4 linked regions of the Struthio camelus genome follow. The protein of the gene in region 1 binds, or shares a complex with, the protein of each later gene. Links are inferred from orthologs where the notes say so. Each region holds a gene or a part of one and is shown in the gene's direction. Other genes may lie near its edges. The genes, in order: YWHAG, CAMKK2, CASP2 and CFTR.

The links.
Region 2: the proteins of YWHAG (region 1) and CAMKK2 are in contact, whole or in part, in a crystal structure (PDB 6Y6B), measured with the Homo sapiens proteins. The link is inferred for Struthio camelus from reciprocal best matches to the Homo sapiens genes YWHAG and CAMKK2. Residues at the interface, in NP_036611.2 of Homo sapiens: Ser46, Val47, Lys50, Asn51, Arg57, Arg132, Tyr133, Gly174, Leu177, Asn178, Val181, Glu185, Ile222, Leu225, Asn229, Trp233; in NP_001257414.1 of Homo sapiens: Leu99, Ser100, Leu101, Gln102, Glu103, Arg104.
Region 3: the proteins of YWHAG (region 1) and CASP2 are in contact, whole or in part, in a crystal structure (PDB 6S9K), measured with the Homo sapiens proteins. The link is inferred for Struthio camelus from reciprocal best matches to the Homo sapiens genes YWHAG and CASP2. Residues at the interface, in NP_036611.2 of Homo sapiens: Glu15, Asn43, Val47, Arg57, Arg61, Lys125, Arg132, Tyr133, Pro170, Gly174, Leu177, Asn178, Val181, Glu185, Glu213, Asp214, Lys217, Asp218, Leu221, Ile222, Leu225, Asn229, Leu232, Trp233; in NP_116764.2 of Homo sapiens: Asp137, Leu138, Ser139, Leu140, Pro141, Phe142, Pro143, Val144, Cys145, Glu146, Leu150, Lys152, Lys153, Leu154, Ser157.
Region 4: the proteins of YWHAG (region 1) and CFTR are in contact, whole or in part, in a crystal structure (PDB 5D3E), measured with the Homo sapiens proteins. The link is inferred for Struthio camelus from reciprocal best matches to the Homo sapiens genes YWHAG and CFTR. Residues at the interface, in NP_036611.2 of Homo sapiens: Lys50, Arg57, Arg61, Lys125, Arg132, Tyr133, Leu177, Asn178, Val181, Glu185, Ile222, Leu225, Asn229, Leu232; in NP_000483.3 of Homo sapiens: Arg766, Gln767, Ser768, Val769, Leu770.

The regions. Positions count from the first base shown.
Region 1 is NC_090957.1:14,518,678-14,526,582, forward strand, and holds the start of YWHAG (14-3-3 protein gamma), read left to right. Parts: upstream 1-4,898; 5' UTR 4,899-5,067; coding exon 5,068-5,154; intron 5,155-7,905. UniProt on the Homo sapiens protein: Adapter protein implicated in the regulation of a large spectrum of both general and specialized signaling pathways. Binds to a large number of partners, usually by recognition of a phosphoserine or phosphothreonine motif.
Region 2 is NC_090958.1:17,347,033-17,354,915, reverse strand, and holds the start of CAMKK2 (calcium/calmodulin-dependent protein kinase kinase 2), read left to right. Parts: upstream 1-4,880; 5' UTR 4,881-5,003; intron 5,004-5,133; 5' UTR 5,134-5,230; coding exon 5,231-5,503; intron 5,504-5,868; coding exon 5,869-5,916; intron 5,917-6,228; coding exon 6,229-6,282; intron 6,283-6,376; coding exon 6,377-6,428; intron 6,429-6,695; coding exon 6,696-6,829; intron 6,830-7,365; coding exon 7,366-7,402; intron 7,403-7,717; coding exon 7,718-7,739; intron 7,740-7,883. UniProt on the Homo sapiens protein: Calcium/calmodulin-dependent protein kinase belonging to a proposed calcium-triggered signaling cascade involved in a number of cellular processes. Isoform 1, isoform 2 and isoform 3 phosphorylate CAMK1 and CAMK4. Isoform 3 phosphorylates CAMK1D.
Region 3 is NC_090942.1:90,151,040-90,158,193, forward strand, and holds the start of CASP2 (caspase-2), read left to right. Parts: upstream 1-4,154; 5' UTR 4,155-4,307; coding exon 4,308-4,324; intron 4,325-4,547; coding exon 4,548-4,698; intron 4,699-7,154. Other genes in the region: TMEM139 (transmembrane protein 139), read left to right, coding at 1,340-1,748. UniProt on the Homo sapiens protein: Is a regulator of the cascade of caspases responsible for apoptosis execution. Might function by either activating some proteins required for cell death or inactivating proteins necessary for cell survival.
Region 4 is NC_090942.1:28,687,580-28,694,722, reverse strand, and holds the start of CFTR (cystic fibrosis transmembrane conductance regulator), read left to right. Parts: upstream 1-4,133; 5' UTR 4,134-4,311; coding exon 4,312-4,364; intron 4,365-7,143. UniProt on the Homo sapiens protein: Epithelial ion channel that plays an important role in the regulation of epithelial ion and water transport and fluid homeostasis. Mediates the transport of chloride ions across the cell membrane.

The DNA.
Region 1 (7,905 bases):
GGAAACCCGCGTACGGGAGCAGGCGTGCTGGGACAGCGGGTAAGAAACCCTCGCTACGGTGCTGCGCTGCTGGGAGGCTTCCGGCTGAGCGGGGACGGCCCCGGGGGTGCGTGCCCGCGGCCCCGGCGGGGGCCCGGCCCTGCGTCGCGCTGCCCCAGCAAGCCGGGCTGCACCACTGCGAGCCGTACGGTGCGCGCGAAGCATTTCCAAAGCGGGAGCCAGTTCCCTTAGCCAGCAGGAAGAGAACAGCTCTTCAGTTTGCTTCTTCGCCGCCTGTTTTCCGCTGGGTTTGGGAGAGGCGATCCCTCGGCAGCCCGAACACGACGGCGCAGCTCGCAGCGCGGGGCCGGGCGCGCGGCGGCGGTGACGTGCAGCCCCGTCGCGCCGAGCGAGCCAGCGCGGAGGAAAGGGGGGGCGCGAACGTCACGCTCGCCTTCCCGCAGCAAGCGAGGAGCGAGGATTTCTGGACAAATTTTCAGAGTAGGAAGCAGGCAAAGGAAACGAGCCTCCGAGTCAAAGAGAATTTACCATCTTCCAACATTTACAACAGCTGACAGGGAAGGCAAGAAAACGCGAAGGGAAGGCCTCGTCTTCTCGGCCACAGGAATTAACAGAGTGGCACATCTGAGCACTCCAGGGTTATTTTAATACTGTGGGTGGAATAAGGGTTATTAGGTTTTTCAGGGACATCTGCCAAACAGACCCACATCCTTCGGGTCTTTGTGACTCCCCAAACGAGCAGCCCTCCGGGCTCTTGCCGAGGTGTGGACATGCAACAGGCAGACCTGGCAGAAGGACGTTTATTGATGAGCGTCCAGATTTCGCGGCAGTGAAAACCTGCGCCCCGCAGGTGCGTGCCCTGCTCACCAGGAGCCGTTCACCACGCAACCTCCACCAAACCGCTTTCCCAGTTTGTAAAATAGAATAATAAAGTGGTGTGATGAGGACTGATTAACGTATCAGAGCCCAAAAAGGGGGCTGGATACAGTGCAAATAAAAATTACAGCAAGAGCGCTATTCTGAAGAATTTACAGCATTATGAATATTACATTCTGACCTGTGATGGGGAAGGAAATTGTCTGCGTTGTGCTATTTATTTATTGCTGTGGTGCTTCGACAGGTATAAATCAGTATTTGTTCAGTCTGGGGCAAATACACAGACACCATAAATAGGCCGAGCTGCAATAATTTGGACTAGCTGAGAATCTGCCATATTTACGTAAATTACCAGATAAGTGTCATAAGGTTTGTATGGAGAGGCATTATTTTTTATTAGGCCAGTTGATATATTTGGAAAAAATACACAAGCTTCCAGGCATACAAGCTCTTCTTCAGGTCTAGACTTGTGTTAAATATTATCTGTGAGAATCCAGTAGTTGTACCCAAGAATTATTTTTCGCACGTTAGAGGAACGACATATTCACCCCAAAGACGGAAGCATCATTCAAAAGAGCCTTAAAGCCTCGGCCTCCAGGAACAGCGCCCAACCCCACCCGGCCCCCACGCACAGACAGTCCTGTTTGCTCGCAAGGTAGAGGACACGTGTCCTCATCAGGGGCTCTCTCGCTGCCAGCTTTCTCTTTTATCTGGAAATCCATCTGCTTGAGTTGCCATTTTTTCTTAGGTTAGAGCGTGGGTCTTTGGGCAAAGGTTTTCTCTTATAAGCTTTGTACAGCACTATGCGCAAAGGGGATCAGATGCCTTATGGCATTTCTAAGTAGCTCCAGACTTGATAAGAAAGAGTAGTCATAGCTGAAACACTAGCGTTAATTCCGGGACCCACAAAGTATTTTAATGTTCTCTTGCGTTCTGCACTTTTTGGCTCAAATTTTATCCCCCAAGCTGGCATCATCAGGAGCATAGTAAAAACAACACACAAACTGTTACTGAGCTCTCCAGAGATTGCGAACCTTGTCAGAAGAATGAATGCACCATTATCGTAAAAGAGGAATAAACTGCTGTTGTCTACAGGGCACTATCCTTAGGGTAGCTGTCATGGTAAACAAAAGCACGGGACAATGGGTGTTTTCACATCTGAGAATCACATGTGCAGCGGGGTGTGAGGCCAGATACCCGGGGTGGCCAGGAAGGAGCCGAGTCCGAGGCGCAGGAACACTTCAGTGCTTTTAGAGGCATATTTACGGCAATTGACTCAGGAGTCCTGATGTGCGCTTGGGCCCAACCAGGCTGTCGCAACAGGACAACTTGCACTTTCTCTTTAAAAGGTCATGATCAGTCCCAAATTGGCCAAGCTGAGACTGGGAAGAGCTGTGTGCCATCCACTGGGGAGGCCAGGTGTCAGACTACCCATATGGGCAAAAGGAAACGGCTTGCGAAAATACTGAGCTACGTGCTGAGGAGGTCAGCGAGAGAAAATACCTCTGTGAAGGTGTGTGAGAGGGGAAAAGGCATACCACAACATATCTCCGCAGCCCTGGCAAGATGGCTCACGTGGCAGGCCTTGTTACAAATGTCTAGAACTGGACCTTTCAAACGTGCTCATGCCTTACACAGCGTATGGGAAAAAGCCATAGGGTGAAGCTGAAGGTTTAATATTCACTTTGTTAGAAACCTATGTGAGCTCGCCCAAGTCTTACAACATGAATTGGGCAGTCGAGCAAGAACGTGCACGAAGGAAGGAGGGTGGAAAAGAAGGAACATGTTAGACAGTGTTTTATTTTACACAGGGAATAGATATGATCTGGACATATTTCTAGTTTTCAGGAACTATTTATGAGAAGGCCTGATAGCTTCTAGTCTCAAAGGCTATAAACAAATAAGTATTTTGTTTAAGGAAAACCAGTCCATTCATTACCGTTATTTGTTACCTGTAAAGCAATGTAAGAGTGCTAAAAGCACAATAAAGAGGGAGATCTTATTCAAAAATTGTGTTGCCTGCTCTCATAAAGTATTCTCATCATTTCCAAACTCAATTTGTCTCCACCCATTTGGTTGACACCTTCTCCACAGATTTTAAATAGCCACAATAGGCTGGGGCCGTGATACTGCCCCTGTGAAAGCCAGCACCATATATACACCCGGTGTCAGGAAGGGTTCCTACGAAGGTTCAAAAGCAATTCACAGAACAAGGGGCTCAGCAAGCCTGACAGCAAGAGTCAGCAGGCCGGACCACCGTTCCTGCTTCAACCTAAATTGCAGATACATCTCCCAAACCATCCACACGCCAGCAGGCGTACCAGAAAGGCCGAGGGATGGGCAGAGCATGCCCTGGGAGCACACCCACCATGTTCGAGGCAGGACGGCACTCACCAATGGAGAAGAGGTACATTAGCACGGTCTGGCCTCCATCTGATTAGGGATAAAGCACTTCCATTTTGAGCAGCACATCACCTTTCATTAGACTCGTTTCCTTTTCCACGATGCTGGAGCATCCTCTAAATATTGCTTTATGTATAGGCTTTTTAGGAAAAAAGCATCTCTATGGTTTCTAATGGAATTCCTAATGTGCAGTAGAAGCTCTTCTAGGTGGCAAGTGAACATGCATTTTTATTTCATTAGTTATTGATGAGTTAGCGTAACACACTTGTGAGCTGGCCGCTCATAAATTTTACAGCGTCATTCCTAAGTAAGGTTGCTCTCCTCTGCAGTCTGTTTGGAAAGACCCCTGCCCTGTGGCCAGATAAAAGCTGAGTGTTAGTTGTTTGTCCCTGACTGTATCACAACAGGGTGACTCAGCACTGTCATGACAACATGTACTAATGCACATGGCATCGCCTTCTGGGGCTAGCCTCCAAACTGGAATAGTTCTTCACGGTTTGATAACGTGGTGCTCTTCCAAGCAGATATTTGCAGATGCTAATGGAGACTCTCGGCTCCTTTTCAAAGATGGCACTGGACAGCATTGCACACTCCTCAGACTCAGAAATCATGAGTCAGGCAGCAAAAATACTGAAGTTGGCTTGAAGGTCATGACATTAAAGTCCAAGCCTCTTTGGCTTGCCTTAAGATTTTAGACTCCTGAGAGGTCTGGTTTTATGTTTTTGGCTCTAGAGCCAAATGGGCTAGAAACAAACAATCTCTGAACTCAGGCTGAGGCTCTGTCAAAATTCTTCATGGAAACAGAGAGTAACTTAGAGCCCCAAAGACAAGGTGTCTCACGGTAACACCCCGAGCATCAGGGAAGCCCCAAAGCTGCTAAGTGACCCACTGAAGGTTACGCGGGCAGCCAGGCCCGACCCTTGGCAAGGGCCCGCTCCCTGCGCGAGGGGCCCGGCGCCCTCTGCAGTCGCTGCAGGCGGAGGGACGCCGCGGCTGAGGCGAGGGGACGCACGCTCTGGGCGCAGCCGTGGGGCTACCCCCTTCCGCCGCCCCCGCCAGCGAGTGGGGCTGCTGGGGCCCGGGCAGCCCGGCTGCTGCCATCTCCTCGCCCGCGGGGCGGCGGCGCGGCGAGAAGGCGGCCAGCGCCTGCGGAGCCCGTGTGATGGCAGCCGCCACGCAAGGCCCGGGCCGGGCGGGGGCAGGCTCGGGGCCCCCGCCTCCCCCAGCGGGGCGCACCGCCCGGTGAATCAGCACCGGGGAGCCGGCGGCAGCCGTGCTTCCCCCGCCGCGGGGGCGGGGAGCCCACCGACGGGCACGGTGACCGCCCCTTCACCAGGGAAGGGGGAGCCATTTTGTCGGCGGGGCGGGGGGGGGGGGCGAGGAGGGCGATGCGGGGCAGGCGCGCGGCGCGCCGGGAAATGGAGTCTCTGGGCGGGGCGGGGGGCGCGGGGGCGGGGGGCTGGCGGACTACAACTCCCGGCGCGCCCCGCGCGCACGCGCGCGCGCGCGCGCGCGGCCGGCGGCGGCGGCGGGGGGCAGCTGGGCGGCGGCGGTTGGCGGGCGGCGGTTGGCGGGGGCGGGGCGCGGGTGACGCGGCGCGCGGGGCGGGGCGGGGCCGCAGGGGGGTTGTGGTGGCCCGCGGCGCGCGCACAGCAGCCGGGTGCAGCCGCCGCCGCCGCCGCCGCAGCAGCGTCAGCGCCAGGAGCCGCCGCCGCCGCCCAACCGCCACCGCCGCCGCCCAACCGCCGCCGCCCGCAGCCTCCGCGCCCTTCCCCCGGCCCCGCGAAGATGGTGGACCGCGAGCAGCTGGTGCAGAAGGCCCGGCTGGCCGAGCAAGCCGAGCGCTACGACGACATGGCGGCCGCCATGAAGAACGTGAGTGTCCCGTCCTCCCCCCCCCCCCGCCGGGAGCTGGGCGAGGGCAGGGGGTGCGCGCCGCCCGCCCGCCTGCCTCCTCCCGGCCCTTCCCGCCCCCCTCCCCGAGGGTCCCGCAGTGTGAGGCAGCGGGACCCCCCCCCACGGCCGTATGGGGCTGGCGCGCCGTGGGGGGGCCGATGTGGGTGCGGGACGCCCCGCTCCGGGCCTCGTTGCGCTGCCGCCGCCCCGGCCCCGGGCACCTGCCGCCCTGCCCCTGCGTCCGCTGCCCTGTCCCGTCCCGGGGCCTCTACCCCGTCCTCGGACCCCCCAGGCTGCCCGGCCTCCGCTGCGCCCCGTCCCTAAGCCTCTCCTTTGCCCCACGGCCCCCGTGCATCCTTTGCCGTGCCCCCCTCCTCTGGCCTCTCCTTTGCCCCACGGCCCCCGTGCATCCTCTGCCGTGCCCCTCCTCCTCTGGCCTCTCCTTTGCCCCACGGCCCCCGTGCATCCTCTGCCGTGCCCCCCCTCCTCTGGCCTCTCCTTTGCCCCACGGCCCCCGTGCATCCTCTGCCGTGCCCCTCCTTGTTCGTCCTCTCCTTTGCCCCACGGCCCCCGTGCATCCTCTGCCGTGCCCCTCCTTGTTCGTCCTCTCCTTTGCCCCACGGCCCCCGTGCATCCTCTGCCGTGCCCCTTCCTCTGTCCTCTCCTTTGCCCCACGGCCCCCGTGCATCCTCTGCCGTGTCCCCCCCTGCTCGTCCTCTCCTTTGCCCCATGCATCCTTCTGCCGTGCCCCTTCCTCTGTCCTCTCCTTTGCCCCACGGCTCCCATGCATCCTCTGCCGTGCCCTGTCCCTGATCCTCTCCTTTGCCCCACAGCCCTGCTGCATCCTTTGCTGTACCCCATCCCTTGCCCTCTCCTCTGTGCTACAGCCCTGACCCTGCCTGTCCTTTGCTGTGCCTCATCCTTTTCCGCCTCACAGCCCCACTGCATCCTTTGTGATACCTCATCCCTGATCCTCTCCCTTGCCCTGCGGCCCCCATGCCCCCCCTTGCCCTGCCCTGTGTCTTGTCTTCTCCTTTGCCCTATGGTCCCCGTGCATCCTTTGCTGTGCCCCTATCCCTTGTCCTCTTCCCTACTCTAAGGCCCACCTGCCCTGCCCCCTCTGTTCTCTGTCGTGCTACCATCCTTTCCCCTGCCTTAAGGCCCCCCACCCTGCCCCATGCATCCTCTGCCCTGCCCCTTGTTTTCTTCCCTGCCCTAAGGCCCCCTACGGGCATCCTCCACTGTGCCTCTGTCCCTTGTCCTTGCTCCTGCCCCAGGGGTCCCCCCGCCCTGTCCCTGCTCAGAGGGCAGAGGAGCCGCCCTTGAGGCACGGTGCTTCCTGCTGCGCTCCCTGCAGGGTCACACCAAACCTGCTTAGGGGCTTTCAGCCCCTTGGGGTGAGCCTGCAGGAAACCCTGTGGAAGGATTTGCGAGCACGTCTCTCCCCGCAGCCGCTGCTGAAATGCCACCCCGTCGCTCCCATACATCCCTTCCCGTGCGCGGGTCTGCGAGGCTTGTATGCTTGTGACCCCAAAGATCTGAGCCTTTAGCTGCCAAAGCTCTTATTTTTACTGCACTTGTTCCGAGATTTATGAATTGAGTCATGTTGTATTCATTTCACGCTCTTAAAATAAAGACTCTGCATATAGCAGGCTGATCTGATTTGTGACACTGAACGTTCCTCTTCAATACTGACATTTTGACAATATAAGAAGTAAAAAAACATATCTCTGATCTGATCTTGCAAACAAAGCAATCGTGGGAGGCAGGATCAAGTCATTCCAGAAGATTCTGCATTTGTCATATTGCAGAGAGGCTAGACTGGGTGGAGGGAGGGAGGGGGTGCTTTAAAGGGGAAAACTGTTCTTTATGTTTGTCTTCTTAGTCAGGTCTGAACCTTTAAGAGGAGCTGGGGTGTCCTCCCTTGCTGATGAAAAGTGAATGCTGATCTAGGAATGTCGCAGTCTGTCTTGGATGCAGCTCCGTTTGCCTATATTGCACCATTTTATCAATAACCTTGCATTTATCAAACAGACAAAACTGTCACAGCCTGAGAACGGGGAGGGAGGAGATGTCTTATCAAGGAATGAAATATGGATAATTGGAACAAGATAATATCATATTAAAACAATTGGGCTACTCCTCTGCTGCACTATGGATTTTATACTGTTTGCTGATAACAGAACAGCATCCATTCATTTTAAAGTAAGGCTTGCAATGTGTGCAGATGCCACATGTTATTTCATATGGAGAATATAGCCGTTATGACAAAGCCGACAGTGATATGCCTGAGGACTTAACACACAGTCTCGTTGCAATATTTCTGTTATGTGAATTTCCATAGCCTACTTACGGTGGATCTGTATTTAAACCAAAGTTGTCGTTAGACTGTATATACTCTTTTTTTTTCTTTTTTGTCCTTACTGCTCCTAGTGAAAGAGTAACCTAGGCTAATGCTGCTTATCAGTTTTCATGTAGTTTAGCCATAAGAAAATGATTCACAGTGGGAGTGCTAGTGCCTCTTGCTACAGCAAACAAAAGGCAGAGCTTTGTTCTTAATTTCTGCAGAATGCCACTCAAACTCTGGCTCAGTCCCACGGTAATGGGCATGTCACACTTAGTTATTCCTGATACTGTCCTCTGTACTGCCCATCCCCCAATTCCAGTTGTGCAGGAGGCTTGTGACCTCGCACTCATTTCCGTAGCAACGCTAGTGATGTCATATGCACT
Region 2 (7,883 bases), on another chromosome or scaffold:
GCATCCCTTTAATTAATGTTGCAGTGTGGCTTTTGGCAGATAATCAGTGCTTTGGTTTTTAAAACCACAGCTGTATTTCAAATGTTAGAGAAAAGTAACCCCTTCACGGGAATGCTGGTGGCTCCTGCCCCGTCTGTTACGTTAATCAGGCCCCCAGTGATAGTAGGAAAGCACTTAAAAGTTCAAGTTCCATAAAGCGCTTGGAGCACCTGCCAGCTGCCTTAATAGCATATTCGCATTAATAATTTGCAGTATGGCAAAACTGATTCCTAGGGTGGCTTCGAAGATCCCGGTGAAGAGCGTTTATCCGTAAAGCTCGCAGGGAAGCAGGTACGCGGCTCCCGCGCCCGCCTCCGCTCCAGGCGGGAGCTGCTGCCTCGAAAAGGGCAGTTTCAGCCCGGTGCAAGGAGGGTGCTCGAGCGGGAACGCGCTTGAGGAGGAAAAAGGAGGAATTAGCACGAGCCAAGCGGGGGCTGCAGCTGCAGGGGCGGCGGCCGGCGGGAGCCCGGGGCCGGGGCCGCCCGCGGCGGCCCTTCCCGAGAGCCGGGTTTCGGAAGGGCCGGGCGGCGGCTCGACCCGCGGCGCTGCCCGCCCGGGGACCGCAGCCCGCCCGGGTCGAGCTCCTGCCGCGGATGCTGCCTTCGGGGGAGGGCGGCGGCGGGTAAGGGGGCAGCCGCGCTTTGGGGCGGATCGAGGCTGGAAAGGTTAAAAAAAAAAAAAAAAAGGGGGGGGTGAATGAAAAGGGGGGGGGGAGAATGCGGCTGCCCGCGGGGAAACCTCCCCTTCCCCGGGGCGGAGCGGAGCGGGGCCGGATCTCCCCCCCTCCTCCCCACCGCCTCCCGCCGCCGGAGCGGAACCGAAAGCGAAGGCGGCGCCGGGCGGGCGCGCTCGGGCCCCGCGGGCGGCTCCGGGGCTGCGGCCCCGGCGGCGGCGGCGCCCAGGTCGGTGCGGCGGCGGCGGGCGGGGCGGGGCCGGGGCGCGGGGACGGCGCGGCCCCGGCGGGGACAAAGCGGCGCCGCCTCGGCTCGGCCCGGCCGCTGCGCTGCGCCCGGGGCCGCGGGCCGGGCCGGGCCCGAGCGCGCTGCTCGCAGGAAACGGCGTTTCCCTGAAATAACGCGTTCGGTGGGTTCCGCGGCGCTGCGGGTAGCGGGTGTTTTGGCCGGGGGAGGGGAGGGGGGGCGGTTGCCGGTGGCTTCGTTTTCCCGTGCGGGCGAGAGCTGCTTGGGGGGGGAGCGCGGCTGGCGGAGGGAAGGGCCCCGGCCCCGCTGCGGCTCCTGCCGCCCGTCGGGCCGCCGCGGCCGCCGCCGCTTCCCCGCACGTGCCCGGCGGCGCCCGGGGCGCAGGCGGCCTCGGGGAGGGGGCACCGGGCCTCGGGGACACGGCGAGCGGGTGGCGGTCCGCAGCGGCGCGGGGCCTCCTGTGGGCCGAGGGCGGCCGCCGCGAGCCCCTCACCGTCGCCTCGGGGCGGGGAGGGAGGATTAGGCTGCGGAGGCGCTCGGGGGTTATGGAAAAGGAGAAGGAGCTGTGCGGAGGAAGCGGGAGGCGACGGAGGTGCTGCAGGAGGAGCGGTGGCGGCAGCGGGGCCGTTTCGTGCCCCAAGAGCCGAAACCGGCCCCGGGGACGGAGGCCCCGGGGCGACCCGCTGGGGGGCTCGGGGGTTTCGCGGCCGTCAGCTGCAGCAACGCCTTCGCCCGGGTCCAGTCCTTCCCTGCGCGGCCGCCGCCTCGCCAGCTCCCGTCGCGCCAGCCTCGCGGGTCCCTTTGGGGGCTTTCGCCTAAAGCTCGCAGGCTCCGCGCAGAGAACTGCAAAACTCGTTTCATATCAGGCAGCTGTAGGGTTTCCAGGCGCTCGCGGCATCAGGGGCCCGAAGGCGCCGCCCTGCCGGCCGCGTTTCTGCCCCCGACCGGCCCCGTCGGCACGCGCCGCAAACCGGGCGCGAACCGCGCGTCGAAGCGCTCGGGGCAGCGCGATCCCGACGAGCCGCTCGGCCGGAGCCGCGCCGGGCCGCTCTCCTCGGGCTGCGGAGGCGGCGGCGGGCATCGCTCCGGAGCATCTCCGGGCGTCTGTGGGCCGGCCGCGGCGGAGGCGACGCGGGGGCAGGCGGCCGAGCCGCCGGCGGCCTGGAGCTTCGCTGGGGCGCGCGCCCCGCCTGGCTGCCGCAGAGTCTGCCGCCGCCTTTCCTGGTGGCGGGGTGCCCCCAGCCAGGCTTTGGGTTTTGTTGCTTTTTCTCCCTTCCTTTGATTCCTCCCGTTTTGCTTCGGACGGGCCGGATGGCTTTTCCGCCCGCCGGGGAGGGCGGCACGGCGCGCCGTCGGCCCTTTGCAACGCCGCGTTGTTTCGGGTGCCCTCCGGCTTGCAGAGAGATTGTGTTTTCTTTCCCCGCCGCCGGTCAGGCGCGGGCGCTGCAGCGGCCGACGTGTTTCTGGCAAGGTCGGGCAGAGCCCGCGGGGCGGCGGGCGGTCGATGGCACCGCGGAAAGCGGACCGGCGCCGGGCTCTGCCCAGCGGGGAGCCCGTAACCAATAAGCGGTAACGAAACGCGCTCGTCCTCGGCGCGGGCGTAGAGCCGCGTCCCGGCCGGCCTCCGGCACGTCCCGGCCGTCTCTTCCGGCTCCCTTGTTTTTTAGGGCGAGAGCCGTGGTCCGAGCGCCGGGGAGGGCGCGAAACCCGTCTCGCCGAGCCGGGGCCTCGGTCGCCGGCGTTGCCCCCCAGCCGAAATCCAGCCGGGAACGTGGCCCCCGGCGTGTTTCTTCCTCTCCGTTTCGGGCTCCGTTTCGCCCCGTGGGAGGCGTTGCGCCGCCGCCGGCTCTCGCGGTTCGCCCTCTGCCTGACGATACCGCTGTCGTCGTCCTCCTCCTCCTCCTGCGGCCGGCGGGTCCCCCCCCGCGGCCGCCCTCCGTGGCCGGAGCTAACTTTGGGGTTTCGCTTGGGGACGGTATCTATAAAAAATAATAATAATAAAATAAAAATAAAGGAGGGGGGGAGATTTCTGCCAAACCCTGTTCTCTGCCCCAACACCCCCCCCCCCCCAAACCCTGGCGTGGGTTTGGCCGGGTGTGACAGCGCCGGCTTGAGAGGAGCCGCTCCGCGGTTCGGAGCCGCCGGCGGGCGCCCGGGTGACTTTTAGCCCGTCGGGAGCCGCAGGAGGCCTGCTCGAGTTAACCGGCCTTGCCGCGTTTGCGGCGGTGGAGCCGATTAACCGGGCGCGAAGGCCTCGGGCGGCTCGGCGGGGTGGTTTGCTCGCGCCGGGCGCCGGACGAAGCTCTGGGGCCGGCGGTGGTTTTCCGCCCGGCGCGACGGGGGTGGTTTTTTAGCCTCCCGAAGCCGCTTCCTTTTTTGGTGCCGTTCGCGCCGCCGCCGTTTACGGGGCCCGCGGAGAGCGGCCTGCGCCTCCGGCCGTGCCCGGGGCGGCCGGGGGGTCGTCTCGCCCGGGACGGGGACGGGGGCTGGCGGCCGGCCCCTTCCCCGAGATGAGTTTTGGGGCCGCCGGCGGGTCCCGTCCCGACTCGTGCAGCTTCGGGTGAGACTTGGCCGGCGGCGGCGCGGGAGCAGCCGGGTACCTGCTCCGCCGGCTTGTTTTACTTTCTTTTTTTTTTTTTTTTTTACTCTTTTTTTTTTCTTTTTTTAAATCCTCGACGTGTCGTTTCTGCCCCGCTGATCGGGAGCGGCGGCGCGGGCGGCTCTGGATTTAAACGCTGCCTTGCTGGGCCGCGGGAGCGCCGCGAACCCCTGCTCCTGGGGCCGCCCGTGTCGGGCTGGCGTCGCGGTTGTCGGGGGGGGGGTTGGTTATTTTCTGGGGTTTTTTTGGTTTTTGGGCTTGTTTGGCTCTGTGGCACCTCGTCAACCTAGAAATTAAGAAATAAAACCGGGTGCGTTTGAGCCTCGGGGAAGCAGACGGGGGCCGGGGGGGGCACGCGGGGGGGGCCGGTGGCCCTCGGGGACTGCCCCGCTGCCTCCCCCCCCTTATTCTTCCTTCCCCCCCCTTATTCTTCCTTCCCCCCCCTTATTCTTCCTTCCCCCCCCCTTATTCTTCCTTCCCCCCCTTATTCTTCCTTCCCCCCCCTTATTCTTCCTTCCCCCCCCTTATTCTTCCTTCCCCCCCCCTTATTCTTCCTTCCCCCCCCTTATTTTCCTTCCCCCCCTTATTCTTCCTTCCCCCCCCTTATTCTTCCTTCCCCCCCCTTATTCTTCCTTCCCCCCCCCTTATTCTTCCTTCCCCCCCTTATTCTTCCTTCCCCCCCCCTTATTCTTCCTTCCCCCCCCCTTATTCTTCCTTCCCCCCCCCTTATTCTTCCTTCCCCCCCCTTATTCTTCCTTCCCCCCCCTTATTCTTCCTTCCCCCCCCTTATTCTTCCTTCCCCCCCCCTTATTCTTCCTTCCCCCCCCCTTATTCTTCCTTCCCCCCCCCTTATTCTTCCTTCCCCCCCCCTTATTCTTCCTTCCCCCCCCCTTATTCTTCCTTCCCCCCCCCTTATTCTTCCTTCCCCCCCCCTTATTCTTCCTTCCCCCCCCCTTATTCTTCCTTCCCCCCCCCTTATTCTTCCTTCCCCCCCCCTTATTCTTCCTTCCCCCCCCCTTATTCTTCCTTCCCCCCCCTTATTCTTCCTTCCCCCCCCTTATTCTTCCTTCCCCCCCCTTATTCTTCCTTCCCCCCCCTTATTCTTCCTTCCCCCCCCTTATTCTTCCCTCCCCCCCTTATTCTTCCTCCCCCCCCTTTATTCTTCCTCCCCCCCCTTTATTCTTCCTCCCCCCCCTTTATTCTTCCTCCCCCCCCCTTTATTCTTCCTCCCCCCCCCTTTATTCTTCCTCCCCCCCCCTTTATTCTTCCTCCCCCCCCCCCCCTTTATTCTTCCTCCTTAACAGACTCGATTTCTCGTTTCTGCCAAGGTCCGGCAAGAGGATTTAGACCGAGGTGGTGGCGACGGGAGCCCCAGTGAATCCTCGCCGGCGGCTCGGGGCGGCGGGAGCGACTGAAGCGGGGTCGGATCCGGCGCCCGCCTGCCGGTAAGCGCGTCCCCGGCTGCCCCCGCGGCAGGAGCCGCTGGGCGTTATTTGGGTTCCCCCGGCCGGAGGTCGGGGGAGCATCGCTGTCACGAGTTCGCCGGGTCTCAGCGGGGGCCGCTGCTGTTCGCAGCCAAATGGCGCGGCGGCGGGGAGGAGGCCGGCGCCCGCACCGTGCCGTCGCCCGCGCCCGGCAGCTCCCCCCGCCGTGACGCCCCCTTCGCCCCGCCATGGAGGAGTCCTGCGTGCTGGTGCCGCCGTGCCGGGCCGCCGACGGCCGGGGGCCGGAGGAGACGCGGGCGAAGCCGGGCCTGGCCGGCCGCAAGCTCTCGCTGCAGGAGCGCTCGCAGCCCGCGAGCTCCGGCGAGGAGGCCGCCGCCGCCGCCGAGCGCTTCATCTACCCGTCGCTGCCCTACTCGCCGGTGACGTCCCCGCACGCCTCGCCGCGCCTGCCCCGCCGGCCCACCGTGGAGTCCAACCGAGTCTCCATCACCGGCTCGCAGGTGAGCGGGGGGGGGGGGTCTCGCCGCTTCCCCCCCCCCCCCCCGCGCACTCTCCTCCTTTTTGCAAGATGGCTTTTAGCTTTTTTTTTTTGCATTTTTTATGTTGTTTTATTTTTTTGCACAGCGTTTCAATTTTTTTTTTTGGGGGGGGGTAGAGCGGTGCCTGGAGGTGGGTCGCCCGCCGCCCGAACTGTAATAACGCTAGCGACTAGCCGTGCCGCGGGGCTGTCGCCGGAGGGTCGAACCCTTTGTGGCTGGCTAGTTTGGCTCGCCGCGCTCTCGCCGCCTCCTCCCCGGGGCGGGAAGGGGAGGAAACGGCGGCGGCGGCGGCTCGGCGGCCGCCTCAGCCCTTGCTCCCTTGGCAGGACTGCGTGCAGCTCAACCAGTACAAGCTGAAGGACGAGATCGGCAAGGTGAATATTGCCGGGATTTTGGGGGGGGGGGGGTGCTGCGTGCTTTGGCCCTTTGGGTGCAACCCCCTGAAATTTATTATTATATATATATTTTTTCCCCTTCCATCTTCCCTTTAATGAAATGGGGCGTTCGAACCTTTTTTTTCCAACCCCCCCCCCCCGCCGTCTCCTGCCCCGGGAGCGGGGGGAGCGTCAGACCCGGCGCGGTGATGTGGTGTCCCCCAGGGTCACCCGCCGCCCGGAGGGGCCGGCGGGGGCTCCTTGGCCCGTCCCTCGCTGGCGGCGGCCCACGGCTCGCGTCTCTGCCCGCAGGGCTCCTACGGCGTCGTGAAGCTGGCCTACAACGAGGACGATAACACCTACTACGTGAGTACGGCCGGGACGGCGGCTTTGCCCCGCCGAGCGAGGGGGGGGCCCGCCGCCGCCAGCCGGCCTCACCCGCCCGCGGGCTGTCTTGCAGGCCATGAAGGTCCTCTCCAAGAAGAAGCTGATGAGGCAGGCGGGCTTCCCCCGTAAGTGGCGCGCGGGAGGCCGGGGACGTCCGTTTTGACGTCTTCCCCCCCCCCCCCCCCCAAGACGTCGGGTCTGCCCGAACTCGGATTTGTTTCCGGTGCCGTTTCCTCCCCTCGTCGAGGAGGATTCGGGTCCTTCCCTCGGTGGGCAGGACGCGGAGCGGCCCTCGGCCCTTTCCCACCCCGGCCGGGGAGCTGGGGGGCTTCTGCTCCCTCGCTGCGTCCTCGCGGCCCGGAAAAAACCTCCCGTTGCCTCTTCTGCCCCAGGCCGCCCGCCTCCCCGGGGCGCCAAGGCCGCCTCCGAAGGCTGCGTGCAGCCCAAAGGGCCCATCGAGCAGGTCTACCAAGAAATCGCCATCCTGAAAAAGCTGGACCACCCCAACGTGGTGAAGCTGGTGGAGGTGAGTCGCAGCTCCGCCGACAGGGAGCTGCAGGGGTGTCCTGGCTCCTTGGAAGAAACGGGAAACGCGAGTCAGTTTTGGGGAAGGAAACGACGCTCCCGAGGCTCCTGCCGAAGGCAGAGAGCGCTGGGGGCTCGCCGGCGGCGACAGGAGCGGGGTCGCCCCCGCGTTAGTTAGGCCTGGCGGGTACGAAGAGCCCCGGGGATCCTCATCCGTTTAATTACGAAATTAAGAGGTTGGTAGCCGGCTTTCCGAAGGCGAACGAGGGCGGCGGGCCGTAAAGCGGCGCCCGTGGCCGGGCCGTGAGAGATAACGGGGCTGGGGGGAGCTTTCGGGCGCCCAGGGCGGGCGGTGCCGTCTCTTCCTCCTCTTCCTCGTCCTCTCGCCGCCGGCCCTGGCGAAGCGGGGAGGGGGGCGAGCGCTGCCCGGGCAGCCGCGGCGAAGGACGCGGGACCCCTTAGCCGCCGTCGCGCCTTTTCTTGCCCGGCGGTCACCTCTCCTTTCGCTTTCTCCCCCCTCGCCGCCGGCTGGGGCAGGTGCTGGACGACCCCGGCGAGGACCACCTCTACATGGGTAAGCGAGCCGCCGGGGCCGGGGGCCGTCTCCTCCCAGCGCGGCGCCGAGCGCTCGGCTTAACGCCGAGCCGGCGGCGGCTCGCCGGGAATCCGCGCCGAGCAGCGTTTTCGGGCAAAGCGTGGTTTAAGTCGCGTCGGACTTGTAAAGGCTGAGCTTGCTTCCGCTGGCCGCCTTCCTGGGTGGCTCTTTTAATCGGAGGCAGAAGCACCCCGGATTTCGCGTGCCCAGCCGTAAAAACGAGTGCTCGCGCGCCGGGACGCGGCTCGCAGGAGCTCTAACCTGCAATTAATGGCCTTTTCCTTTGCGTTTCAGTGTTTGAGCTGGTGAAGCAAGGGTAAGTGTCGAGGTCGGGACCCAAACCCGCTAAAGCGGGACAGGTTTGTCCGTAGCAGGTCTCCGTCGTCGGAGCAGCTTCTCGTGCCGGAGGGGTCGTCCCCGACCCCGCGGGAATCGCAGCCTGAGCCGGCTCCTCGCGAGA
Region 3 (7,154 bases), on another chromosome or scaffold:
ACCTCCATTATTCCTCTTTAACTTTCTCTCCTTAGATAAGACCGTTTTACATACTGTTTTGCTGCCTTTTCCCCAGGGAACCAAACACAAACTCCATTTTAGGGTAGAGAAGTTCATTTTAGGGTGTTTTTCTTCATTATCCAGGTAGAGCTTGCAAGTGTCTATGTCACAGATCTCCTATATCTTGTCCAATCTAAGTTTTCTTCCCCTTGGGAATTGATTCATAGACTATTTCTAAGACTAAACAGATCCAGCCCTGCTTTATCTTCCCTTGAGTAAGTGAGTCTTGCTCAACAATGAGTCAGACAAGGAAAAAGGAAAAAATGCTGAGGTGGTTTAGTTAGCTGGTTTAGTTTTATAACCTTATTCCCAAAGCAACTGCTCCTTGGCAAACTTTTACAAAGGAACCTGTAACCAGGTGTGGTTCCATTCTTAAAAATCCAACTTGACACTAATAGGTCCTGATTTTGAGAGGCACTGAACACTCCCGAATTCTTTTGGCTTCATCACTGTTTTCAGGTACTCAGTACCATCTAATTTAACCTCAATTTGCCTACTGTAGTTAAAGAATTTAACTTTATTTGCCTCTTTGCTTGCCTGTCTGTATAATATATCATTTTCCACACCCTTAAACTGCTCAGCATTCTCAGATACAAGTTTTTGTATGAGGCCAAAAATGTTTCCACGTCTTTACTGTTAGAAATAATACATAAAAAGAAGCTTCATAGTGCATTTTGCTAGTTTTGGGGTGTACTAGAAGAAAACTAGTATTCATTTATTCAAAAATATGACCTAAAAGGGAAAATGTCTCTAAAGTAATATTCTTCTCTGTAGATGTTCTTTTTAGCACAGAATGGAAAGTTTTGTTTAAACTAAATGAAAATACTTTTTTTTCTCCACTTATATTCCTAAAAATAGATGAATGTTGGTCTAATATATTAAAATAGAGACAGAAAAGGAAAATCCTGTTTTTCCTCTCAGAAATAGCACTTAGTAGTTCTTACTAATAAATTTTAACTGGTGGCAGATTTTAAATGAGGGAATATTAAGCTAAGCCTAGGACACTGGATTGAACAGTCTGGGTTATTACTTACTCTAAGTGTAGAAAAATAAAGTCACATAAGCCATTCTCTAGAATAGGAGGCAAGACTTTAAGTTGGCTGGACCACTGAGCTGATCCAATGGCAGAATATCATACACCAGAACACATGAGATAACAAGTCAATTATCTGTTGTTTGTAGCATAGTCCCTACTTTACGTTATCTAGACTGCCTGCCTCTGCATAAAATAAACAATAAAGTAACCAGTTTAACTGGTATTCCTCTCTCTTGTGCACAGGGTGAACGCTGCCTATGAAGCACCTACCTATGAGGAGGTGATGACTATGTCAGCTCCAGCAATATGGACAATTGCATCCAATCCGGGCACCGTGCCCTCACCACTGAATGAGCCTCCCCCTTACAATGTAGTTATTGAATCATCTGCCCGAGGAGAGACTGTGGTAGAGACTCTCAGGGTCTCAGTGCCACCAAACATAAGGTGCACCTCCGAGACAGACACAGGCTCCCGGATGCACTTGCAGCTGGTGCAGCCCCCCAGGTTGCAGCGGTTTGTTTCAGACATCCATGAAGTGAAAGGTATTGAAGACAGGTTTGAGCCACTGGAGCCGCTCACTCCACCACCTGCTTATGAGAATGCAGTCAACGATGAGGTCTTTGAACATGCTTTCCAACCCTCAATATTATGATTAATTCCACCTTCTATGAATGCAGGACCAACCCCTCACCCCAATGCAGGCTGCACCTGGAGGGAAGGAGAAGGAGATGAGTCTTTTTCATGCCTGAATCAGTAGAAGTCTGTCTTGCCATTCTTTGAACCAGAGCTGAACTACAGACATAGCTTCTGATTTCACTGGGATCTTCGTGCATGCTCATGACAATACCACAGTGCTTTGTCCTGGCAGAAGATATGGAAGACCACTAGGAAAAAAGCCGTGTAATATACAGAAGCAATTCGGAGCCTGGGGATACACCTTTTTGGAAGAGGTGAGTGAATCATGGGAAGAGACAAGGTCACCAAAGGACTGCTGAAGAACAACTGTGGGATGCAGCCAGGATAAGCTGGCTTGGAAAGGGGAGGAACAGAAATAGCAATAAGTAAGAGGAAGATAATAGCAGTTTCTCTCATGTAGGAGAGGCCAACAGTGGGACACATACACATACCCACTGCCTGGACCACCAATCTTCCCAGTTTTACAGGAGAAAGTATTTCTCTATTGTACAATACAAATATTCTACAAATTTCTCTCTACATCGCAGATCACTCTAGATACTTTATTGTCATCACGGCTGCTGTTTTTGCATAGAAATGTCAATGTTTCCAAGTTCTCAGTAACAACCCTGTGCATGGATGTTTTTGTTTAGAAAGGCCCAGTCCCTCTTCCAAGACCAAGTTGAGACTGCAGCAGAGATATCTGGGAATATCAGTCATGAAACATACGTGATCTTTGTCATGACGGCTCTGGTCTGAAGCCGGGTCCTAGCTCTCGCTGATTAGTGATGCTACCCTGTCTTTTAAAACAGCTGAGTCAAACTGTTAGGTTCTGAAGTGTTAGGGTTGAAGTGGTCTGCAGTACGCAAAGAGACACTGAGGTCTGGTGAATGTCCAAATAAAAACATGAAATATGGAGGTTGAAATTTCCTTATGAAAGAGAGCAGCAATCATCACAGCCTTGGAGTACTGTGAAAAAAAGATGAGGAAAGAGAGAACAGCAACAAGCCTGTGCATAAGTGCAGCCATTCAGTAGCCCAAGCAGAACATCCAAATATCCAAAAGAGCATAAATTCTTACTGAAGGTACCAGGATCATTTTCAATGCATACCAGGAACCATAAAGAAATGGGTTAGGATCAAATATATCATTTTCTTTTGAGCTATAAAGAATCAAACAATGAGAAATAACTTTGTATGTATGTTATAAATAAACAGAACCATCAATGATGGATATTAAAAATATTTGATAGTATCATCAGTTTTTCCTCCTATCAGAAACACTCCACAAAATCATGACTAATGGCTGCTTGCATTCTGCTTATTTCTGCTTATTTCTGCTTATATCTTGGCTTAGAGAAAACAGAGGAATTCTATTTCTAAATATACAGCTGAATCGCTTTAGTAACATTAATGGCAAAGCAGCTATATTTCTATCAATCAAGTATTATGAGAGAAAAAACTGCCAGGAGAAACATTGTGATTTTTTAAGGCTAACTATTTCCTGTAGCTATTTCCTAACTCAAGAGAACAAATCACAACTAACAGAAGTGGCAGTGTACCACAAGGGAGTAGAGATGTATGGCCTAGGTTGGGCATTCCAGGATCCTTCTGGCTGCAACAAATTCCTAGGAGTCAGGAAGAAACACGGGTGACCAGCACAGATAAAAGCTAGCCAAAAGAAAGACAAAAAAAGTCTCCAGTTATGATCGCTAGGATTTTGTCTTCAGCAGCTGAGAGGGTTATTTAAGCCTTTCAACTTGTGTTAAATTTTGACACGCACCAGGAAACAACAATCTGAAGCTTTACACGGCAAGAGCTAAAAATCTCTTTCCACTAAAAGGATGCTTGCTCACTTTTCGCTTTCTCTTTCTTTCAACTGTACTCTACCATGTCCTGCATGCTCCCTTTCTTCCTCTTATTTACTCAGTAACACTGAAGCCCCTTTTTGATCTCAGCTGATTTCAGCCCAACATGCATGCAACAACTCCAAAAACACAGAGATCAGAGAAGTGGTATGTTTGCAAAGCAGCATACCTGTTAATTCTATTTGCATGCAGAATCCCTTCTCCTAATCTTCTGATGTGCAAAAGTACAAAGGTGGGGAAGGCCAAGGCGACGCCCACCTGGGGAGCGTTGGCAAAGCGCCCGCGAGCAGCGGGCAGACCCGCCCCCAACGGCCGCCGCCATCCCGCGGCCGGAGCAGCCACGACACTCGCCGCTCCGCCACGCCCTCCCCCCTCAGCGCCTCGCGCGCGGCGGGCGCGCCGGCGCATGCGCACAAGGACGCAGCCCCGCTCAGGCTTGTTTTGTTTGGCGCTTGCCAAAGGGCGGGACTGCAGCGCAGGCGCCCGCCGCGGCCACGTGACGTCAGGAAGCGGGTCCGGCGGTTTGAATCCCCGGGGCCGCAGGGAAGGCGCGCGCGCGCGCGGGGAGGTGAGTGGCGGGAGGGGTTGGTGCGTGCGCTTGCGGCGCCGGCGGTTTGTCCCGGCCGGTACCTGGGGGCGCGGCGCCGAGCCGAGCCGAGGTGGTTTGATATGGGCCGCGGCGAGAGGTGGGTGCGGGGCCTATGCTGCCTCGGCAGCTGGCTCGGGGGGGCGCGCCGTTCCCTGCGGCGATCCCCGCGGTGCGGCCGGTGGAGGCCTCTTTCTGCCCGTTGTCGGGCGCCTCCAGTGCTCCCGACACGCAGCCGGGCTTTTCGCTCCTGAGTGGAAAGTTAGGCGGGATGGGGTAGCCCTTGCGGTTCAGTTTGGTTTTGGTCTTCTCTCTTCTGCCAGGATGCTGGGAGCGTGCGGCATGCAGAGGTGTCACCAGGAAGCGCTAAAGAAGAACCGGGTGATGCTGGCGAAGCAGCTGGTTTTAAAAGAATTGATGGAGCATATGATAGAGAAAGACATCATCACCACTGAGATGATGGAAATGATACAGGTATACAGGTCATGCTCAGGTGCCGTGCTAGTTCTATTCCTAGTTAAGCTTAGCATCATTCTTGGAAGTGGTAATGTGGTAAAACTCATGTATGTGTTACCTGTGTGTTTTAATTTAATCACATTTGGAGAATGTGCACAGCAGCAAGGGGTGTGTTCACAACATGTAGGAGGTTCATAAGCCTCTCTTGGCAATATGGTTATGGTCTGAGATCTACCGAATCACTGAACTGCTTGGGGGTTTGTAGTTGTGAGAGGCTGCACTTGGTGAGTCAGGTAGTATCTTTCAGTCCTTAGTTGTTGTTTTGTGCCTCTTTTTTTCTTCAATTTGTAAAAGTGGGAATAATATCTATTTCCAAAAGAATCTTGTGAGAAAAAGTAAATGAATATATTATAGCCAGCTTATTGTGGCACTTAAGCTACTTTTATAGAAAGAACTTATTTCATGTATGTTTTGTAAATTGCTTGAAGAATTTCTGAAGGGAATGAGGAAATAACTTCCGGATGAATTTTGACTCTGTGTCAAAAAAATAGCACAAAATTTCTCCTGTGACGCATTGAGGATATCTACCAAGGCAGTCTTCCCTGAAATAGTTCCAATCCCTAGAGATAGAGGACAAAGATACAGGAAGATGTTGGAAGAGCAGAGGATGAATCAAGAACTGGTGGCGTATGGCTGGTTTGTAGGGATGTTCAGTTGTTGGCCTGCAGTCAGTCACTGAAAGAGAAACCCTCTTGAAGAGGAGACAGTGCTGGAAGAAACAGTCATTTGGGGAAAAATGCTGCAGTGGTTAATAAGATTTAAACTGAGAAAGAGAGGAAGAAGACTGAGCATTCTGCCCTCCAGGTATGGTTAGGTAAAAGGGGATGCAGCAATACTTTAGAGAGTACAGAGGAAGAAGGTGTTATGGTGGAGAAGTCAGGTAAGTGGAACAACTTTATAGGCAAATTGCATATAATACTATGTATACTCATAAGAAGTAGCTTAAATATGTGTGAGTAGCAACAGCAGCCTGAGCAAGAAAATAGCATAACTCAGTCCGCTGATAAAGAATATGAAGCTGGAAGTAACAGAGATAACAGAAGCTTGTTGGGGGGTGGGGCAGGAGAAAAGGAGGAGAACAGTGACAACTGGAACAGTAGTAATGCAAAATGTGCATTGCGCTAGAATGATAGAAATGAAGGTAGAGGTGGCAGGATAGTACTGATGATAACAATGCAATAGACAACAAATAAGCAAGAAATAACATGAATAAAATTGATCACTTGAATCAAAAACAAGTTGTCTTATCTTTTTTCATTTTTCTAGGGTAGTTCTGTGAATTTCTTATAATCTCCTGCACGCTGGGTCAAATGTGAATAAAGGTCTTAGGGATACCGTTCAGGAGAACCATTCTTGAAAAATGTATCATGACACTAATGGTGGACCTTAGTGGAAATAGGAAGAGACAAATGTCACTGTATTTGATAACAGAGCATAGGTTTTCCTAGATGTTGTAACTGACTGGTTCTGTGTATCCTTCCTCCAAACAAATAGTGGTGGAATGAAGAAGATCTGGATGACTTATTATATTATAAATCATCTTGTCTTAAAAACCTTTCAGTTATACTGGTCCTGTGTTGCTGCCATTTATATTAAATGGAAGAATAAAGAAATTGGTTCTGGAAACAGTGTATAAAAGTCTACCTTCTTTAAGTGAAGTACCCTAAGGAAAGTGAAATAAACTGAGAAGCTCAGGGAGCTGAAGAAAGCCTGAAATATCTTCAAATGTGGGCTGCCCAACTAATCCTGAATCCGTGTTAGAAGTAATAGAAAAGTGGGAGGGGAGGAGATTGTTGGAAGAGCAAATGAAGAGAAGGTGATTGAACTGGATGAAGCGCTGATAAGCACGTGAAGAGTAAATAAAGAGTTTATATGTGTAGACTGGGAATAATTAATAAATAGAAGCAGCTTTCTTTGCCGTCCAAAGAAGAAATGGAGAGAGAATAAGCACTGGCAGGAAAGAATTTGAGTGGAGGCTTCCTAAAAGATACTAGACAAAATGAATGTATTCAATTACATTCTTTTTTGAAAAGAACAAAGAGAGAATTTAGGTCTACTATGTAGTGAAGATGAGGTAAATCTAATAATTATCTAGAGGAGGGCCCAGAAGAGAGTTTTCAAACCCAAAGGCCAAGCAAAGGTGAAAAGTGAGAATAAAATGTGAAAGTGAAAACAGCCATTTCTAAGATGGAAGTCCAAAATCCACTTCGTGAGTGTCCTCTTGTCAGGATGACGGATGTACTTCTAGAGCTCTGGAACAGGACTTCAAAATAACAGTTATGGTAGCAAGGGTTTTGTTTTCCTTTTCAAACAACTTGAAGCCTCTATAATGTAATTGTGGGTTAGTAGATCATGGGGATAGGGGTATCTAAATGGTCTCTGTTGATTAGTAGATGACAATGGAGGGATCAGTG
Region 4 (7,143 bases), on another chromosome or scaffold:
ATTAGATTCCAGCTGAGCATAGAAAAGGTTGAGGGGAAGACCACTAGGTTTGTGGATCAAGTCCTACACTGTTATAGAAAAAATCTGAAAAAACATTGAATTGCTTTTGGGTTGAACGAAACATTACAACTAAAAATAGTTTCCAGTTAACTAAAGGTTCTGAAATATTTGAGGGTTGAGTTAGAGTGAAATTGATTTTTATATATGATTGCTTCAGCCATCAAAGAAAATAAACGTCACCTTGATCCCTATTTTCTTTTTCCCTATCCTATCCAGAGAACCATTTTTTCTCCAAGGATGTTTTAAGGGATTTTTTCAGAAGATCAGAGTTATGAGACTAATGAGCAGAAAACCTATTTCATTTTAAGCAGCAACAAAAAATCAGTGACTGTAAATGTTACTTTTGGCAGCTGCTTAGCTTTTGTTTTCTATGATGATGCTTATGTGGTCATACTTTCTCTTTCCACTAACGACTTTTCTGTCCCTTTGTCCACTGATGTTGGCTAATGGATCAAGTATTTAAATAGAATTACTTTCCTCCACACTTGCAAATCAGCAGCTGGGTAAAAATCAAAAAACCCCAAACCCCTAGTGTGCTGCTTTACTTAGAAAACTCAGTTTGTGACTCCATGGCAGCTAAAGTCGATCTTACCCCTGCCTTGCCTTCCTCCTCTCTTGCCCCTTGACGTATGTTTGTACTCTTACTTATCTTGGCAGTAGTGCCGAGTAAGTTATCTTCCTAGTTAGTTCAGGGTGCTGATCCTGCTGAAAATGAATCACTCTATGGTAGAGTTTTCAGTTAGACCAGAACCTTGACTGCTTTACATGCAGTCCAGTAGTCCTGGAGGGGAATAGGAACATGTAACCAAAGGCAGGACAGAGGCCGGTACAGCCTCCAGGTGTAACTCACTTCTGAGTTTCTGTGAACATGGCAGCAACTGAGCAGCTGATCCGTTTCCTATGTCTGCGGCTTCAGACTCCCTACCGCAGGTTGTTTCTCACTTGGCTGGGGTATCATTGCACTTCTGCAATGATGCAGTATGGCAGCCAAAGTTACTGCAGTGATGGCAAAGGAAATAAGGCTTTGCCTGTTCTCCTGTTCACATGCCACCTCACTCTGCAACAGGCTCACTCCATTTTTTTCAAAAATTCGAAGTAAAATCAGATAGATGGTGGATGTGGATACAATTAAAGGATAAAGTAGCTGTTGTCATATCAGATTGCATTTCTGTGGAAGTGAAGGAAGATCACATTAATTACATTCATAGATAATACTAAATTTGGATGTATTTCAGCCCCTAGAGACAATAGAAATATCATGGTTTATTCTTGCGCATAGAAATGCTAATGACAAGTTTCTCATTCATGTCAGCTGGAATATGTTCAAGCTCCCAGAGAAGATTAGGAATAATGGCTGTTCTGAAACTACAGAATGTTCAGTTCGGGGGAAAAAAAAAAGGGCAAGGAAATTATTTGTGGAAAATTTGAAAAGCACAACTAGTTAAGAGTTTGTGACTGTGTGAGGTGAGATGGAAGCACATGAGTTCTATACAAAACTATCAGATCAGAGAGCAGGGAACTAATCACTCCTGGGGGTTTGGTGGTGCTGAAATAGCGATAACTGGTAGTTAAGAAACTAGTCAAATAGTCTTAAGTTTAGAGAAGAAATGTTCAAAATTAGGGATTTAGAGAACTTGACATATGAAGGGCAGTGGAATTTGGAGCTAAAAAATCAACAATAACTACTGGGATATCTTTGTTAGTCCCAAATTTACTGGAAATGCTCCTAAGTCAGCTCTGGTGATAATAGCAGCAAGGACTTTTATGGAAAATACTCCATTAGCCATTGACACTTTAAGCAATTTGGACTTGATCCACAAAAGGTTTTAAATGGCTAACATACCTCACTTTCTAATGTAAAATACAAAAAACCTTCTAATCCCCTGCTCAGTTTCTGCCTTATCTGAACACACCAGAAACCTAAGGGCTAGAAAGGGAAAGAGTCTGTAGCAGGCTAGTTCTATGTTGCTCAAAAGACTTGTTTTCCAGCCTGTCTTTAAATTGGCATTTAACTATTTTGTAACAGTGAAAGAATTTCAGAGAAAGAGATCCACTTCGATCATCTGTGTGTTAGGGCCCAGTGGGGAATTTCCTTGAGAGGTGGAAAAATGTGGATTCACAGCCTTGCCTTAAGTCAGGCAAAGGGGGGATTCGAATCCTAATCGCTCTTTTCTGGTTGAGTATGCTAGTCACTGAGCATAGTGGATACAGAGGAGTTAGATTGCCATTTGTCACCGCTTAATCGAGGAGAAAATCCATACCTTTAAATATGAAAGGGAGCAGGTACCTTCGAGTAGCTTAGAGCCCGGTGCCAAACTCCTCGAGGTGCAGCGTCCGCCTGCTCCCCTGTTCGCTGCGGCGGGGGTGCTGCGGTGCGGCAGCCCCGCGCCCGTGCCGCCGGGGCCCCGTGGCTCCCGGGCCGCGCGGCGGGCTCCGCTAGGTGGCAGGATGCCGGAGAGCTCCCGCTGCGGCGCCGCTCGGCTCCCGCTGCGGAGCCGCGCGCCTCCGCCGCTGAGCACCGCCGGAGCGGTGCGAGGGGGCACCTAGGAGCTCCCCACGGCCTGCGAGGAAAAACTGTAAGGCGAAGAGAAGTTCTGTATGAAGGCGCTGAGGGGTCTAGTGAGAAGCAGTGATGTGAAATAAAAGAAGAGATAGCCGCAAAGATTGCAAAGAGTGACAGCTAGTTAAATCGTAGCATAAGCTCTGAGACCATAAGAATCACGTTTGCCCGTTTAAAGAACCAGTGTGGACAGAAACGGTTGTATGCTTAGGAAAGCATGACCTTTTCCATTAATACTTTTTTAATTACAGAGGTAAAAGGCAACTGTGTAAATATCGTATTAAAATGTTAAATGAAACAGGAGTAAGTTATATACAGAACTAAAACGATCAGAAGAACTTATTCCTGCTTATTGTCATCTTTATTTTATTTTAAGCATGCTTTCTACTGCATGCTCTTTGAAAGCAGGGATTTTGTTTGTACACTACACGCATAATTCCAGAAGCAGCTTTGTTATTAAACGTCGGTGTTTGGGCTAAATTTTATGAGGATATACCTTCAATTCCCATTCCTCTACGTTCAAGTTGTCGTGCCTATGAGAAAACTTGAAAAATTGCAGCAACTGTATTTTAAAGTGAATGTTGTTGTGCGCACTGTTCTCATTTATTCTTATCTGAGCTCCCTGTCCGCTGTCTATTGCTTGTTTCAGTCATTTCACAGCGACGGCGTTGGCCAGCAGCGCGGCGCACGTGAATGGGGCCCCTCACGCCCTCTCTGCCATCGCGATGGCCCAGGGCGCTCCTTTAAGAGCTGTCTTGCAGGACCTCGCACAGGGGTCCTGGGGAGCCTCAGGCGGGATTGTGTTGGGTTTCTCCCCCATACTGGCGCTAACGGTGGGATAACTCGGGCTTTGGGCATGCACAGAAGTTAAACCCCGTTAAACCAGGCTTAGGCTCCCTTCGGTCTTAGAGGGCGCCCCCGCGCCTCTCGCGGACCGGCAGGTTTCGCTGCGGGTTTGCAAGCAGGTGGCTCGGGAGCTCCGGGTTGGGTCTGCGGCGGGCAACGGTGCGCGCGCGGGGGCAGCGTGTCCCCCTGGGGGGCTCGGGGGGGGTGTCTCCTCGCTGCCCGCTCCCCGCTGCCCCCGGTGCAAAGGAAGAAGGCACAGTTTAGAAAGGCGATTCGCCTCCTTGAAGGGCGAGGGAGGTCGGGCTGGAGGGGGCTCGCAGCCCGGCTCCCCGCCAGTCCTGCGGGACTCTGCGTTAGTGACTGCTGGCAGGGCGCCGGAGCGCAGGGTGTGCGAGGCCCAGCCAAGCCGCGTTGGTAGGAAGAGTTAATGGGCTAGCGCGAAACCCAGCGAGGAGCCGGGGGAGGAGTGTGTGTGTGTGTGTGTGTGTGCGTGCACAGTGGGGAGCTCCGGGAGCCGCGGGGCGCGCCCGGGTGCGCGGCGCGGCGGGCAGCGGGTGCCGGGCGCGGCGGGGGGGTTGGGAAGGAGGAGGCGGAGGAGGAGGCGGTGGTGCGCGGGCCGGCTCCCGAGCCCTCCTGCTTTTGAACCTGGGCAAAGCAGAGGCGGGGAGAGGGGCAGGGGAAGGAGGCAGGCAATGACATCAGAGCGGCCCGAGCGGATAAGGTGGGAGAGCCGCGGGAGCGGAGCGAGCGAGGCGTGAGCAATTAGCGGCGGCCGGCAGTTCCCCGCGCCCAGCCCAGCCCAGCCCCGCGCCGCGCCGCGCCTCCCCGAGGCAGCCCCGGGCACCATGCAGAGGTCCCCCCTGGAGAAGGCGAACATCTTCTCCAAACTTTTCTTCAGGTAGGAGCCTCGGCGGAGCACGTGCGGGCCGGGAGGGCGGCGCGGGCGCAGGGCTGCCTGGCCCGGCGGAGGGCTCGCTAGGCGCCAAGGAGCCCCAGAGCAGTTTGCAAAGAGAGCAGTGGGAGCCTTGCTTGTCGAAAAGTGATGTGATCTTATCTGGCTTTTTTTTCTCCCTCTAGTTTTTAGCACTAGGAATGGTCTCTATCTATTTGGTGTCATAAACCGTCAGTGGTCCTAGACAAATTGATTTATGACACAATTTGAGCAACCTTTGGTAAATTGCTCAACTACTTAATTTGTTATTTCACTACAAGCTGTGAGATCACGGGGCGGGGGGGGGGGGTGAATGATCTGAAAGCAAGGGTTCCTTCTCCTTGACTTTCCATTTTTTTTCAGTTCAATATGAATGTAATACAGGATCTTACTGGAAATAGTTCCTTGTAAGCCTTGAAAGTGTTCCCTTACGAGTAAAGTCCCTGGCATCTTTTCTTTCTTGCAACTTCAAGAAAAAGAGGAGAAGGAGCCAATACCCCAATGCCTGTGCACCACACAGTTCATAAGACAATTCAGAAGCCTGAAAATGTTTTACATGATATTGTTGGAAATAACACTACCAGCTGGAAGGAACAAATGATCTTTCTGACCCATGTGTCAGTTTTGCTGTTTTCCAAGGGAGCCGGCTTCCCCTTTTGTTACGTGAGGGTCTTTCATGCAACACCTAAGGGAGGGAGGAAATCTTACATGAAACATGGCCATGGTGACTGAAGTGAGGACACGTGATAGAAAACCATAACATTGGCACGAGGTTCTTGGCTGAGATACTAACTGAGGGCTTTTAACTCACTTTCTAAAGCTTTTGGGATAACTTCCCTTTTCAGCAGATTGGCATAGATTTGGACTTTTTTTTTCTTAGTTTCTTAAGAAGTGGCTCTTTATGAATTATTCTGTTTGCTTGCCTGCTCCCCTTTGATTCCTTTGACCGTTCATTTCAGCCAGATGAGATAGCTGTGAAGGATCCCAAACACAACCAGTTTCTCAAGTTTTGTGAAATGCCCAGCTGAAGGAGACTCCTGTCAGTGTCCTCTACAGATGCTGCAATGTGAAAGAAGCTGTACCTGTACTCAAATGCTCTTAGACCCAGAGAGTGTGGATTAGTGGGAGTGAGCCCTTATAAATTCTCCATAGAAAAGCTTCAGTTGGTGCTCCAGTCAAGTGTAAGATTCAAATCTGTAGGAAATAAGGCAACATATTAACTTTGTTGCTCGTGGAATCATTTGTTCGATTTCATTTTATTTATTTTGCAGCTTATAGCAGCATGCTGTCCTAGAACTTGTGATGCTAAAGATGTCAGGCAAAATTCCCAATAAAATATATTGCTGATTCTTACCTTAATTAAAATTCCCATGTCCAAAAGCAGATGCAACTCATGCTCATTAACCTTGAGTCTGAGTCTTTATGTCAATTAAGTGAGGTTTGAATCATGCGTATCATGCGTGATGTGTGATATTATACTGTCTTATGATAATATTATGATAATAAATATATCAAGAAAAGAGATATTTATGGTGAATATTGACTAGAACAGAAGAGTTTCTGTGCAAAACTTTATGATAATATTGCTTCAAAGAAGAAACAAGCTATTAAAGTAAGCATTCAGTTCACTGGGTAAGAATAGACAAAATTATATATAGACTTCTATAAAGAATCCAACATGATATGCTTCTGTGAATTATAAAATTTACTTGCATTTTACCATGTATATTGGTAAAATATCTCTGTTCAGAATTATTATATGAAATATTTGCAAAGATCACAAAAGTGAAAACCACAAGATAAAAAATATTACATCCCAATTTGCATCAAGAATGTCTTTCTCTTAAAAAAAACTCTTTGGAAAAATGAATTATTTGTAGCTGTGAAACATATGAGCGTGTTTTAAAATATTTGCATTCATTCCTCACTGACTCAGAATTTCCATCTCATCAAATTAATATCAGGATCAATGTTAAAAATTATTAGAAGGTAAATTATAACAGAGCAAACATTTATCAAGTATGAGGATTTTACAAAACTTAAAAATATATTATTTGTGATGAGCTTTATAAAGTCAGAAGAATTTACTTATGTATCACTAACTAAAGAGACCTGTTCTGTCAGCTGGAAACATCCACGAAATTGTGGTTAATGAATTAGATTGGATCAAGGTTTTGTGAAATGTCAGATTATTTTGTTAGTGTTCTAACTGAACCTACACATGTCCTTGGTTTCTGAAACTGATCATATTTAGCAAAGCACTTCAGGACATGCCCACATTTAAGCATGAGCTTTAGTTCCATTAAACTGTGTGAGATACAGAAGTCATGAGCATTCTATCAGAAAGAGGTAGTCAGTTCTTAAAAAAAAGAAAAAGTTATGTCTGGAAAAAAGATATTACTTTTTCCAATAATGATTAAATAGTTGTTTTCAAGTGCAACACTGAGGACTTCTTCAGTGAAATAACTTTTTTAGTAGTTGCTATGGAACTATTTGTAAAGTACAAACCTGAATATAGTGCAGTAAGTTGAAAGTTACTATAGTGGAAGTATCACTAAAGAATAAAATACTATTTTTCAGGAAAGTCTTGCTGATAAATGTAATATTATTATTTAATATTGCACAAGCTGTTATCAGCTCCCTGATAATAGTATCTGTAAGCCCATTGGCAAGGATCTCTTGCTTCATCCTATGTCCTGTTCAGGCTAGGGATATGTTTGAACATATTAAAATGCAGAATGGGGCT